3 linked regions of the Rattus norvegicus genome follow. The protein of the gene in region 3 interacts with the protein of the main gene of each other region in a pairwise test. Links are inferred from orthologs where the notes say so. Each region holds a gene or a part of one and is shown on either strand. Other genes may lie near its edges.

The links.
Region 1: the proteins of Cdc5l (region 3) and Sh3bp5 interact in a two-hybrid assay, tested with the Homo sapiens proteins (2 studies listed by BioGRID and IntAct). The link is inferred for Rattus norvegicus from reciprocal best matches to the Homo sapiens genes CDC5L and SH3BP5.
Region 2: the proteins of Cdc5l (region 3) and Ywhaq interact in a two-hybrid assay, tested with the Homo sapiens proteins (2 studies listed by BioGRID and IntAct). The link is inferred for Rattus norvegicus from reciprocal best matches to the Homo sapiens genes CDC5L and YWHAQ.

Annotation. Positions count from the first base shown.
Region 1 is NC_086034.1:6,602,596-6,606,241, reverse strand, and holds part of Sh3bp5 (SH3 domain-binding protein 5), read left to right. Parts: intron 1-2,151; exon of another isoform or gene 2,152-2,419; intron 2,420-2,958; coding exon 2,959-3,123; intron 3,124-3,646. UniProt on the Homo sapiens protein: Functions as a guanine nucleotide exchange factor (GEF) with specificity for RAB11A and RAB25. Inhibits the auto- and transphosphorylation activity of BTK. Plays a negative regulatory role in BTK-related cytoplasmic signaling in B-cells.
Region 2 is NC_086024.1:46,692,597-46,696,342, reverse strand, and holds the start of Ywhaq (14-3-3 protein theta), read left to right. Parts: upstream 1-1,467; 5' UTR 1,468-1,512; intron 1,513-1,882; 5' UTR 1,883-1,922; coding exon 1,923-2,216; intron 2,217-3,746. UniProt on the Homo sapiens protein: Adapter protein implicated in the regulation of a large spectrum of both general and specialized signaling pathways. Binds to a large number of partners, usually by recognition of a phosphoserine or phosphothreonine motif.
Region 3 is NC_086027.1:23,061,465-23,065,210, forward strand, and holds the start of Cdc5l (cell division cycle 5-like protein), read left to right. Parts: upstream 1-932; 5' UTR 933-1,037; coding exon 1,038-1,082; intron 1,083-3,447; coding exon 3,448-3,551; intron 3,552-3,746.

The sequences.
Region 1 (3,646 bases), on a different chromosome or scaffold from region 3:
ATGAAAGAAGGGACAGAGAGATCGCGTTTTAGAAAATGTTAGGGTCCCAGGGGATGAGCCCGTGTCTCAGAGCTGTGGAGAAGCCGCAGGTAGACTGAGGTTGGAGGGATGGATCACAATTCATCTCCCTTAAACCTGTCCAGATTTACTCTTCTTGGACCCGTCTGGAAAGATGGAGGCCCCAGACTGTTCTTGTGGCAGAAGTAAGAATGGGCAGGGGGCTCAGCTGGAGAGAGAGTCGGGTTGTCAGTGCCAGACAGTTACTTCTCAGTGGCTGATCGGTTCTAGAGAGGGTGGGCATCCCCATCCCTATGTGTGGTTCCTGCTACCTCAGTGGATGTAGATGGCTGGTAGGGGGCATTCATTGAGGCTGTTTTATTTTTATTATTATTATTATTATTATTATTATTATTATTATTATTATTATTGAGGCACGATTTTGCTGTATAGCCCAGGCTGGCTTTTTTAAATGCTCCTTTCCAGTCATTATCAGATTTCCTACAGACCCTGTCTCATGGTCCATCTTTGGAGTCTGACCTCAGGCGCTCCCCTTGACCTCCCTCCATCATCCTGAGTTGCAGCTCCTGCCTGCCCTTCAGGTCTCTCTTTAGGAAAACTTTGCTGGGTTTCCTCTTATGTGAAGCAAGTCCAATTCTCCTGCCCTGCACATAGCCTTGCACATAGCTTTCTGCACATCAGCTACATGTGGGGCGCAGTCCCCTGAGTGGATCTCTGTGGGCTGGAGGGCTGGGACTGTGGCTGTGCACAGACCAGAGTAGCGGATGCCCGTCTCGGGTTACCGTGGGTTACCGGGCTGTTTCTTCCCCCAGGGCTGTGGTGTTCTCAGCTTCTTCGTTTCTTTTCCCCTTAATTTTCTTTGCAAAGTACCCACAGTCTACGTGAAGACTTCCTCTGAGTCATGTGAGACTTTCTCTGGGGAAGGGTGGGGCCCACTTGTTCCCCTCTTAAGTCCCAGGGGCTGTCCTGTGGGTGTCCCACCAGGGTTTTCATAATTGGACTCAGGGAGTGGTACTGGGGCTGATTAGCATGTAGCCATGCCCCGCCCCTGGCCAGACAGGAAATTGGATGTGAGCCCGAGAAGAGAGGTCAGCAGTGTGGCCCCACTGACTGCTTTTAGGGGAGCGTGCTACAGAGCATGTGTGGACATCAGAGGACTGCCTCAGGTGTGGGTCCTCACTGACTACCTTGTTTGAGATAGGATGTGGCTATGTTTCTGCATTCACCACACTAGCCGCCCTGGTCTGTGGGCATCTGGGGGATTCCGCTGTCTCCGCCATCTCCCTCCCGCCCTGGAGCACCAGGTTTCAGAGGCATGCTAATCGGGTCGGCTCTGTGTGGACTCTGGGGACTTAGACTTAGGTCCTCACAAGTGCATAGCAAGCACTTTACCTGGGAGGTGTCATCTTCCCAGCCCTGCATATGATGCAGTCACATCACTCAGCCCACTCTTGAGGGGGGAACACCAACAGCCCTAAAGTAGTAGAGAGTCACCTACGAGGAAACAAACAGATGAGATTGATTTCAGTTTATCTTAGTTTAGTATATCTCACATCTCATCCATCTGAAAAATGGCAATGGGATAACCAACATTTTTCTACTGAGATTTTAAAATGAGGTGGATATTCTTTTGGTGTGTGTGCGCACGCACGTGTGTGGTGCATGTATGTATACTCACATGTGGCATACATGTGAGCATGTATGTACTCATGGCTATGTGTGCACATGTGCTTGTGGGTGAGTGGGAATCAAGAATCTTCCTCAATCAATGGTCCGCTTCAGTTTTTGAGCCCGGAACTCTTCAGCTAGTCTTTCTAACCAGCTTGCTTCAAGAACCGCCGTCCTCATTTTCTGAGCTGGGGCAGCTGCCACACCTCCAGGCGTTTGTGAGCTTTGGAGATCTGAGCCTCCGGTCCTCTCGCATGTGTGGCAAGCACCTCAACTCCTGAGCTCTGTCTAGGCTGTAAGGGATGTTTACATTTTTCGTTAATCACATTTAGATGCTCTGGGGTTACATGTTGGCCTGAGACTTTTTAAAGTGCTGGCAGTGCAAGCATCTGGACCGAGTTCCCAATCCACAGGACCTGCGTAAGAAAGCCAGGCCCAGCAGTAACCCCAGCAACCGAGAGGTGGGTGGATCCCAGGGCTCACAGGCAGCAGCCTAGCCTCACAGGGGACTTCCTGCCAGTGAGAAGCCTTGTCACAGAAAACAAGGCTCCCGAGGAGTGGTCTTCAGTGTTAACGTTAGGTTTCTCCATGTACACACGTCCACGGACATACACGTCCTTGTACGTACATGTCCACGGACATACACAGGCCCGGCATACGCTGTCTGCCGTAGATAGGAGCACAGCTGCTGTGTGCGTTTCCCTTCCTTCTGAAAGCAGGACGTGTGCTCTTGGTAGGCCTGGGCCTGGGTGTCAGTGTGGGCTGAGAGGGCTGCCTGGCAGTGGGCTGCTAGGCTGGCAGTCGTGTACTGGGGTGTTTGCCTGGCCTGGAGCCTTGTTTCTGACCAGCTCTGCAGTCTCAGGAAAAGCTGTTTCCAGCTGCTAGGCCTCATCTGCAGAATGGGGCCTATAACTGTGGTCTCTGGAGCACTCTGGGCTGTGACGTGCAGGGAAGATTCCCAGGACTGCTATGCCCACCTGGGCTTCATTCCTAAGCCAGGGCATCAGAGAAAGGCCTCATTAGCCATTGGCAGCACAGATGCAAGGTCTGTCGAGCTCCAGACTATGGAGGCTGTCTGCTCACCAACCTGGTATTCACTCAGCCATCGGCCTCCTGTAACCCCATCCTGTGCGTGAGGGACTTCCCTGTGCAGCCTCCAAGAGGGAGGCAGAGGTGGATCAAATCCTGGGCCACTCATCTCTGGGGGTGGGGGATGGACCCAGGGACCCCCGGGCTTCACCTCAGGCCTTACAAGACCTTCTCTCTCAACAGGCTCAGCTAGAAGCGCAGAAAGCCACACAGGACTTCCAGAGGGCCACTGAGGTGCTCCGTGCAGCCAAGGAGACAATCTCCCTGGCCGAGCAGCGGCTGCTGGAGGATGACAAGCGCCAGTTTGACTCTGCTTGGCAGGAAATGCTGAATCACGCTACTCAGAGGGTAGGTGTGGCCGTGTGTGCTGGTGCTGGGGACCCAGGCCTACAGGCTGTTCTTTGACTCCACACGAGAGTAGAGGTAGCTTTCTGGGTGGCATAGAACCCTCCTGTACAGGCCATGGACTCTCTGCCTTATGTAGTGTGTTGGCTGGCAGGGCTTTAAGCCACCAGTGACAGGTGGACATAATCTTTCTCTGTATTGCCTTAAATGTGTCCTCAGGTTCATGTGGTCCACCACTGTCTTGGCAGTGGAGTTGGGTTTTCCAGAGGGGCCAGGATGTTCTCCAAGGTTGGCTTCATGACCTCAGAAGGACTGCAGGCCCCAAGTGGAAGCCCAATTAACACTTTTGACCTGCCACTGGGTATATGTTGGTGGTGGGTGAAGTACCCAGACTGGAATAAGTGGGTAGACCCTCAGGAAGGGCCTTCTGGGTGAAGCTTGCGTCTGGGGAGTAGCGCTCTGTAGGCAGGAGCTGGGAGTGGTTGTCATAAGGGCTTTACGTCGCCATTATTTGGCTCTTGACCTG
Region 2 (3,746 bases), on a different chromosome or scaffold from region 3:
TGCACTGGGGCATAGTAAGGCATTTTTGTATTAAGACAGAGTCACTTTCCAACCAGGATTCTCCTGGTCAAAGCACAAAGCAACCTTTACAAGTTGGGTAGGGAGGGGCAGCTGGAAAGGAATCTGAATTTCTGGAAGCTTCGTCCCTTTCCCTCCTTGCCATCTGTGTTTACTGTTAGACCTTCCGTTCTATGGACTCTATGGACTCTCCAGGTCCGCTTGGTTCCACCATGCATTTGAATCCACTTTGCCCTTGGCAGTCACTGAAGTTCTTTGAACCCTTGAATTGGAATCTCAGCAGAGCCGGGTGGCAATTTCAAATCTGGTAGGACAGCCACCTCACTTGGACTTGGATTGTAGGGCCCGGAGATAAGGGAGCGGATTAAAGGAGAAAAATGTTAGCTGTGACCCTGAATACATAGCATCTGGGGCAAGTGTTCTCATTTCAGAAGGGTGTTTATCGTGCGGAGAAAGTCAGCACGTGAGAATTTTGGCTTTACAAGGATCTTCACAAAAATATGAGGGGAAAAAAAACAAACCTAAAAGCACCCCTCCCCCCAAAAAACCCCCCAAACCACCACACACAAAAACCTAAAGCATGTATACATGCTTTACAGAGTACAAAGGTGTGTTGGGGGCGGGGTGTACTTAGACATTAACGTGGAAAAGAAAGAAATGTTTGTCCAAACCGTGCTTAATGTCATTTCCCGTTTTAAAGAAAAGCTTACCTGACGCTGCCACGCGGACCCGCCCAGATCTCCTGAATCTACCTTTCCATAAGGAAATTCCTGGCTTTCGGGTGCCTGTGTGAAAACTTGAACTAAGACACTTTCTCTGGGAACGAATTCTTTTTTTTAATGGGGATCGGGATATTTCTGATTGTAGTCGAAACAGGAAATTTATAAGGGTTGCACTTTAACGTCTTGAGGATCCAAACCTTGGTCAAAAATAGGAAGGTGGAAGAAAGGCGCTTGTGCAACAAACGGCCAATTATCTCACCCCTGCGTAGTCCAGCTGCAGCCGCAGCAGCCTAAGAGCTGCAACGCCCCATCTGCAGAGGCCGCTGCTGCAGGACACGCGGCCACTGCCTCGGAGGTCGAACGCACCTCCGGTCCCGTGCCGCACCCAGGAGTGCCGGGCTGGCGGGGAGGATGAGGGGAGTTGGTAAAATCATCGCCATGGCAACAGTGACGTCCATTCACCCTGGATCTAATTGGAGGAAACCCCGTGGCCGAAGCCGCAGCCTGCGGGCCAACCGAACCTACCCGAGCCGACCCACCCTCCGAGCCTCCGCTTCGCTTCCCGCCCCGCCCCCTGGGCCCCCTTCCGCGCGCTCGCTCTTTATTGGCCATTGGAGAAGCTGGAGGCGGGACTCCCTAGGGAGGTGCAGTGTTCTATTGGTCGGTAGCGAGCTCGTCGGCTCCGCGCTAGGCTGAGACGGGAGGGTCCTCGGCTAAAGCCCAAAGCAGATCAAAGTGGTGGGACTCGCGTCGCGGCCGCGGAGACTAGAAGGTGAGTTTGGGCACGGCTCTGGGCCTGCCGCTGCAGCCGCCGCCGCGTGGGACCGGGGCGGGGGTTGGCGGAGCTCAGTCCTCGGGACTGCTGGGCTACCGCGCGCCTTAGGGTCGGGCTGGGACGGGAAGGTGCGGCTCCAACGGCCGCTTCCATCTTGGGCCGGGCGGGGCCCGTGCTCCGGCCTCGGGAGGCGCGGCGGGCGGGCGGGAGGGCGCGGGCGGAAGGCGGCGGCCCCGCGAGAGGCCCGAGGACGCAGCCTCGTGCGCTGAGACAAAGCGGGCGTCCGGCTTCATTGTCTGACGTGCTCTCCCCTCGCTCCTTTTTGTCCTCTCCGGCGCCGCCCCGCCCCGCCCCTCGCGGCTCTCAGGAGGACTCCGGATCCGGCTCGGCGCTCGCCCTCGCTCGCCATGGAGAAGACCGAGCTGATCCAGAAGGCCAAGCTGGCCGAGCAGGCCGAGCGCTACGACGACATGGCCACCTGCATGAAAGCCGTGACGGAGCAGGGCGCCGAGCTGTCCAACGAGGAGCGCAACCTGCTATCTGTGGCCTACAAGAACGTGGTCGGGGGCCGCAGGTCCGCCTGGAGGGTCATCTCGAGCATTGAGCAGAAGACCGATACCTCGGACAAGAAGTTGCAGCTGATCAAGGACTATCGGGAGAAAGTGGAGTCTGAGCTGAGGTCCATCTGCACCACGGTCCTGGTGAGTCGTGAGTCGTGCACCGGTAGCAGTGAGGGAATAGGGCGGCGGGAGCGACCCTTTTGTGTGGTCCTCTCGATGGCGAGAAACCTGTGGGGTGGAGAGCTTGTGAGATGAGCCCCAGGCTTCTTCACACCTGTTTCAGAGCTTTCTCGGGGGTGAGTAACTTCCCAGGGTGTGGGTTCCAAAAACTTGGTACAGTCGCGTAGGCTTGCACAAGACCGAAAAGATCTATTTACTTGTGCCAGGAGTGTGGTCCTGAGATGTGTAAGTTCTTTTAAGGGCGATCGGTCACTTTGGGGGTTTCATGTGATAGAAGGCATGGGGACTTTTACCATAGAAATGCTAGTATTCCCCCGACTCCGGTAAGAATATATTTAGCCTTTCCTTGCTAAAGGGGTGTGTGTGTGTGTGTGTGTGTGTGTGTGTGTGTGTGTGTGTAGGGAGAATTCACTAAATGAAAAGTTCACAGATAATTTAAAGAATACAGTGTCCTGGTGAAATTTCATTAATTTTTTCTTTTCTGTTTGTTGCCTCACTTAAGTCCGGTGTGTGGAAATAAAACGAAAGCATTTCTGGTGTGAATGGTTAAGGAAGGTTTTCCAGGTTTTGAATATCCAGTCCCAGCAGGGATGTTAACTGCTATGAGATTCACCCTTATTAGAGGGAGCACTTTTAAAGCTTGGGTCATTGCACAGATCTCTTATTCAATAAAGCAAGTTTCTAAAATTTAAATAGCATACTGTGGAGTGCCAGATATTAATGCAGCAAACAGTTACTTCTGTGACTGCACATCGATAGGTAAAGGCTGGTAGAAAGTAGCTGCTGGGTTTGCCCTTTACATGCCACCTTTATAAGAGGCAGCTAGTAGCTAATAAGCTTGCTCTGTATCTTGCCTTTTGAAAGGCAAGCATGCAAGGTTTCATAGGAGAAGAAAAAGACTTTCCCTTCTAGCCTTCATTTCTTCATCACATCAAACCAAAGGAACCTAGAACTTTTGTTCCCTGCTGTGTAAAACTTAACCTACCTGTTTTTCTAAAACAAACGAGATTATCTGAGTAAAATCATGGTTGATAGATTCAGATGTTAGGGGTCAGAAGCAATCAGACAGATTTCAGAGTGAAGTGCAGAAAACTGTTGCTTTGTAAGGATGCCATTTTGTTGTGTTAACATGTATGTGCTCTTTAAGTTTCAGTCCCTGCGTAATAGTCCCTGTTCTTTGGTCTGAGTTTTTTACATTCTAGATATGTCAATTTGGATAATGCAGACTTTAATAGCATATATTGATGGCTATTATTAACACTTTGTGGTTTACTTTCTGGTAAATAGCCAGTTCTGAATCACCAGATTTTTCATGTAAGCTAGCAGTTTAATTTTGAAACAAAAGAATATTTTTTAAGGTTTATTTATTTTATATATAAGTACACTGTAGCTGTCTCAGCCACACCAGAAGAGGGCATCAAATCTCATTACAGATGGTTGTGAGCCACCATGTGGTTGTTGGGAATTGAACTCAGGACCTCTGGAAGAGCA
Region 3 (3,746 bases):
AATGAACCACTGCAGAGCCGCTATGCATGGAATAAAATCTTTCCCTAGGGACCTGGGGTGGCACCAAGTAATTGCTCTGGAATAGTGAATAGTCTGCGTGGGAGAGAGGGAGAGGAGATAGCGGAGAGTTTGACAGGTTCCACCTCACCGAGTGTTTATGAAGTCGCAGCTGTCCTCCGATTTTATGAACAAGAGTTCGCCCTTAGTTCCACTCTTCAGATGACGCCGCCGCAGGATCCCAGGGGCAAGTCTCCCTCAACCCGCCGAGTTTGTTCCACAGAGACCCACCAGTGAGGTATGAGTGAAACCCGCGAGCGCGACACTTTGAGGGCTCCTAGGGCGCACCTTCGTGAACTCCTCGGGGGCTGAGGTGAAGTTTGCGCGGCTCTTCTAGGAAGGATAAAGAACACTTCGGGAGAGCAGTCGCGTCTCTCAGGGTACAGTTAGGACCTTGAATCTGTTCAGCATCCTCGGCACTTGGCACTGCGGGTTGTAGTTCCCAGAAGAGAACAGACTCACCCTATTGCATCTCCCTGAGGCCTCCGCGAAGTTCTTGTCGCTTAGATGCCAGCGGGGCGCTCCGTTAAATAAACTAACAAAGCTCCCATCCGATCTAGCGTGGTGCGGAACGCCACACCCCTGACTTCCCTACCCCCCTCCCCCTGTACCGCCCCCCCGTGACTTCGGGACCAATCCCTTCACGCGTTGCCGGCCAAGTTCCACCTCTGGCATCTCGCGAGAGTTTTGTTTTCCTCCAACCTGTCTGGGACCTGCGCGCGACGTCGGGCGCTTTGGCCTCTACGGTTTGATAATTTTCCGTCAGTGTTAAGGTTCCAAAATAGGCCGCGTCTTTCGCCTTCGGCCTCTAAGATCTCGCGAGATTTACCGGGGGCTGCTCACGCCGCGCCTGCGCAGATCTCATCAAAGCAGAAGGTCGCTCTTGGAGGAAGTGGCCTCTTTGCGTCCCGTGACCGAAGCGCCGTTACTACTTTCTCGAAGCTCCACTCGGCCGCTTGCCGGGACACTCCGCCGCCAAGATGCCCCGGATTATGATCAAAGGGGGCGTGTGGAGGAATACGGAGGTGAGGCAGCTTTTCCCGCCGTCCGCAGCCCTCCGCCGGGTCCGGTAGCGAGTGCGCACGCGCGGACAGCTCCGGGAGCCTTGGCTGTCCCGCGGGGGTCTGCGTGGGGGGCCGCGACTCTGCGGACCCGGGAGACCCTTGCCATGCGTGGGTGCGGATGCGGGTCACCTGGCTCAACCTCGGGAACGAGGTCACGACTTGTCGGTCGGCGCTCCCCGCCTGGCATCTGCTAGGCCCTTGAACACTTATTTGTTCAGTTAGGGACGCGCCCCCTCCTCTCCCCTGCAACCCTGTGGCGGCTCCGACGGGACCCCCGCGGAAGCCTAGTTTTTCTCCAGCTCCTTCCTTTGTCAGTTCTAGCAGAGCGAAGCGCTGTGACCGCAACTTTGTTTTTCAGTGACTTACTTAGCGGGGGCAGGCGGCGCGTTTACGTCTGCACCTCTCTGCTTATCTGGTCCCCGGGCATAGTCTGTCCGTTCTGCAGATTCCCAAGGTCCTTTCTCTTACCTTCCAGTCACGCCACCCTTGCTGGGATAGAAGCCAGTATAGGGTGGTGTTTGCTTCCAGAAATGTAGTAGATAATGTCACGGTGAGCGGAACGGGAGAAGAAAGGAAATAAAAGAAATGAAATGAACGTGTATTTAATCGGATGCGCTGAATGTAGGAGTACCTTTACGTCTCGTACCTTCTTGAGATAGCTTCTTATTGCTTGGCATCTTTCTGAGTCTCCTCCAAACTTAGCTGAGAACACTTCTTGGAGTCCTTGCCCATAAGCCGTCCCGTTGAGAGTTGGTTGTTTAGTGGGTTTGTGGCACCTATTTTTCATTCGCTACAGCTCATTTTGTTGTCGCAGGCACTTCTGTGTGGTTCTGGCGGAGTTTAACTTCTCAGAGCCTCAGTTTACTCATTTTTATAAGACACATAATAGTGTTTGAGCTCTTGAAATGAGTTGGCAGTTTGGAATATTTCAAACACAGCTGGGCACATTAGTAGGCTTTCAGTAAAGTTGAATTGCTGTTGTCCTCATCAGACAGCAGTGCAGAAGGACCAGGCTTTGGTCTGCTAGTATGAAGCAGGCTGCTTGGTGGTGTTTGGGAATGAATCTTGTAGGATAGGGACCTGCCACATGTATTTGGTTGAAGATGTGCTGAAAAACTTTACAAATGGAGGTACTAAAAAGGGTCTTGCATGCACCCAGGCTATTTAAACTTGGAAGAGGTGATTTCTGAGGAAGAAGTAGAATCACAAAAATTTAAGTTACAGCAGTGGTCAAAACCCTGCAGAGGGGTGTGTGTGTGTGTTTGAGATAGGGTCTCATGTAGCTCAGATTGGCTTTGAGCTTCTTATGTAGATGAGAGTGACTGGTAATTTGTGACCCTCCTGCCTCTACCTCTCCAGGGCTGGGATTACAGGTGTGTACTGCCATGCAAAGTCTTATGGGAATCTAACCCAGGACTTCATGTATACTAGGTGGGGACTCTACCAATTAGTAATGGGAGAGAAGATGGAGTGGAGGGGCTTAAGTATAAGGCAGGCAATGCAAGTTCATTGTGGAAAAAGCCTAAAAGTAAAGTGCTCAAGAAAGATCTACGACTTTCATGTTTGTGAGTTTGCTTGGCAGGTTGTCTGGGGATTGGGTTATGCTATGGGTACCCCGGTGAAGTAGTTTTTGGAGATTGGAGTAGATGGTGCTGACTGATGAGGTAGAGGGAAATGTGGATCCTGAGCTGTTGTGGTTAGTAGGATGATGGAGAGGAAATGTGTTGAACCAGAGTCTCAAGTTGCTTCTTTGATTCTCTTTCCTGGAGTATATAATGAGACCTGGTTCAAGGTAGATATTCAGGAAGCTTTGCTTTTTTTGTTTTTGTTTTTGTTGCAGTTGTTATTTTTGTTTTGAGTAAATATAAATATGAACTCTATCTTTGAAGAGAATGGCAGGTACATATGGGTGAATAATTTTGTCTGTCATAAAGTAGTGTTTTCAGCATTGACTTTTCCCACCTCCAGTTTGTTGAGGGGCAGGTAAGATGTCCTTTCTCTCTTTTTTTTTAAAGATATATTTTACTTTAAAAATTATGTGTCTGTGCATGAGTACAGGTGCCTTCAGTGGCTAGAGACTTTGAATCCCCTTGTAGCTGGAGTTATAGGCAGGATGCCTGATAAGGGTGCTGGGAATTGAACTCACATTTTCTGCAAAGAGCAGTACATGTTCTTAACCACTGAATAATAAAGTTTCCATGCCTTTTTTATTTTTTTAACGATCGTGTGCCTCTCTCTACAGGACCTCTGCGGGGACTAACTTAAGTTTTGTCTTTTCTCATTTAGAGGCTTGTGACTGAATGCATTCTCTTTGGTAACTCTCTAGGATGAAATTCTTAAAGCAGCGGTAATGAAATATGGGAAAAACCAGTGGTCTAGGATTGCCTCATTGCTGCATAGGAAATCGGCAAAGCAGTGCAAAGCCAGATGGTATGTATGTACCAGTCAGTCCAGGGGAAAGCAGTGTGATCCGGATCCCCACTGTGATGAGGGAGCTGGCTCTTTGACCCCCTCTATTCCCCTAAAGCATGAACTGTGATATGGAGGGAAGTATGGAAAGAGGGGCCTTTAGATGTACTTACCACTTGCTTCCTGTGTCTTGAGCAAACCATTTTTCCTCCTCTT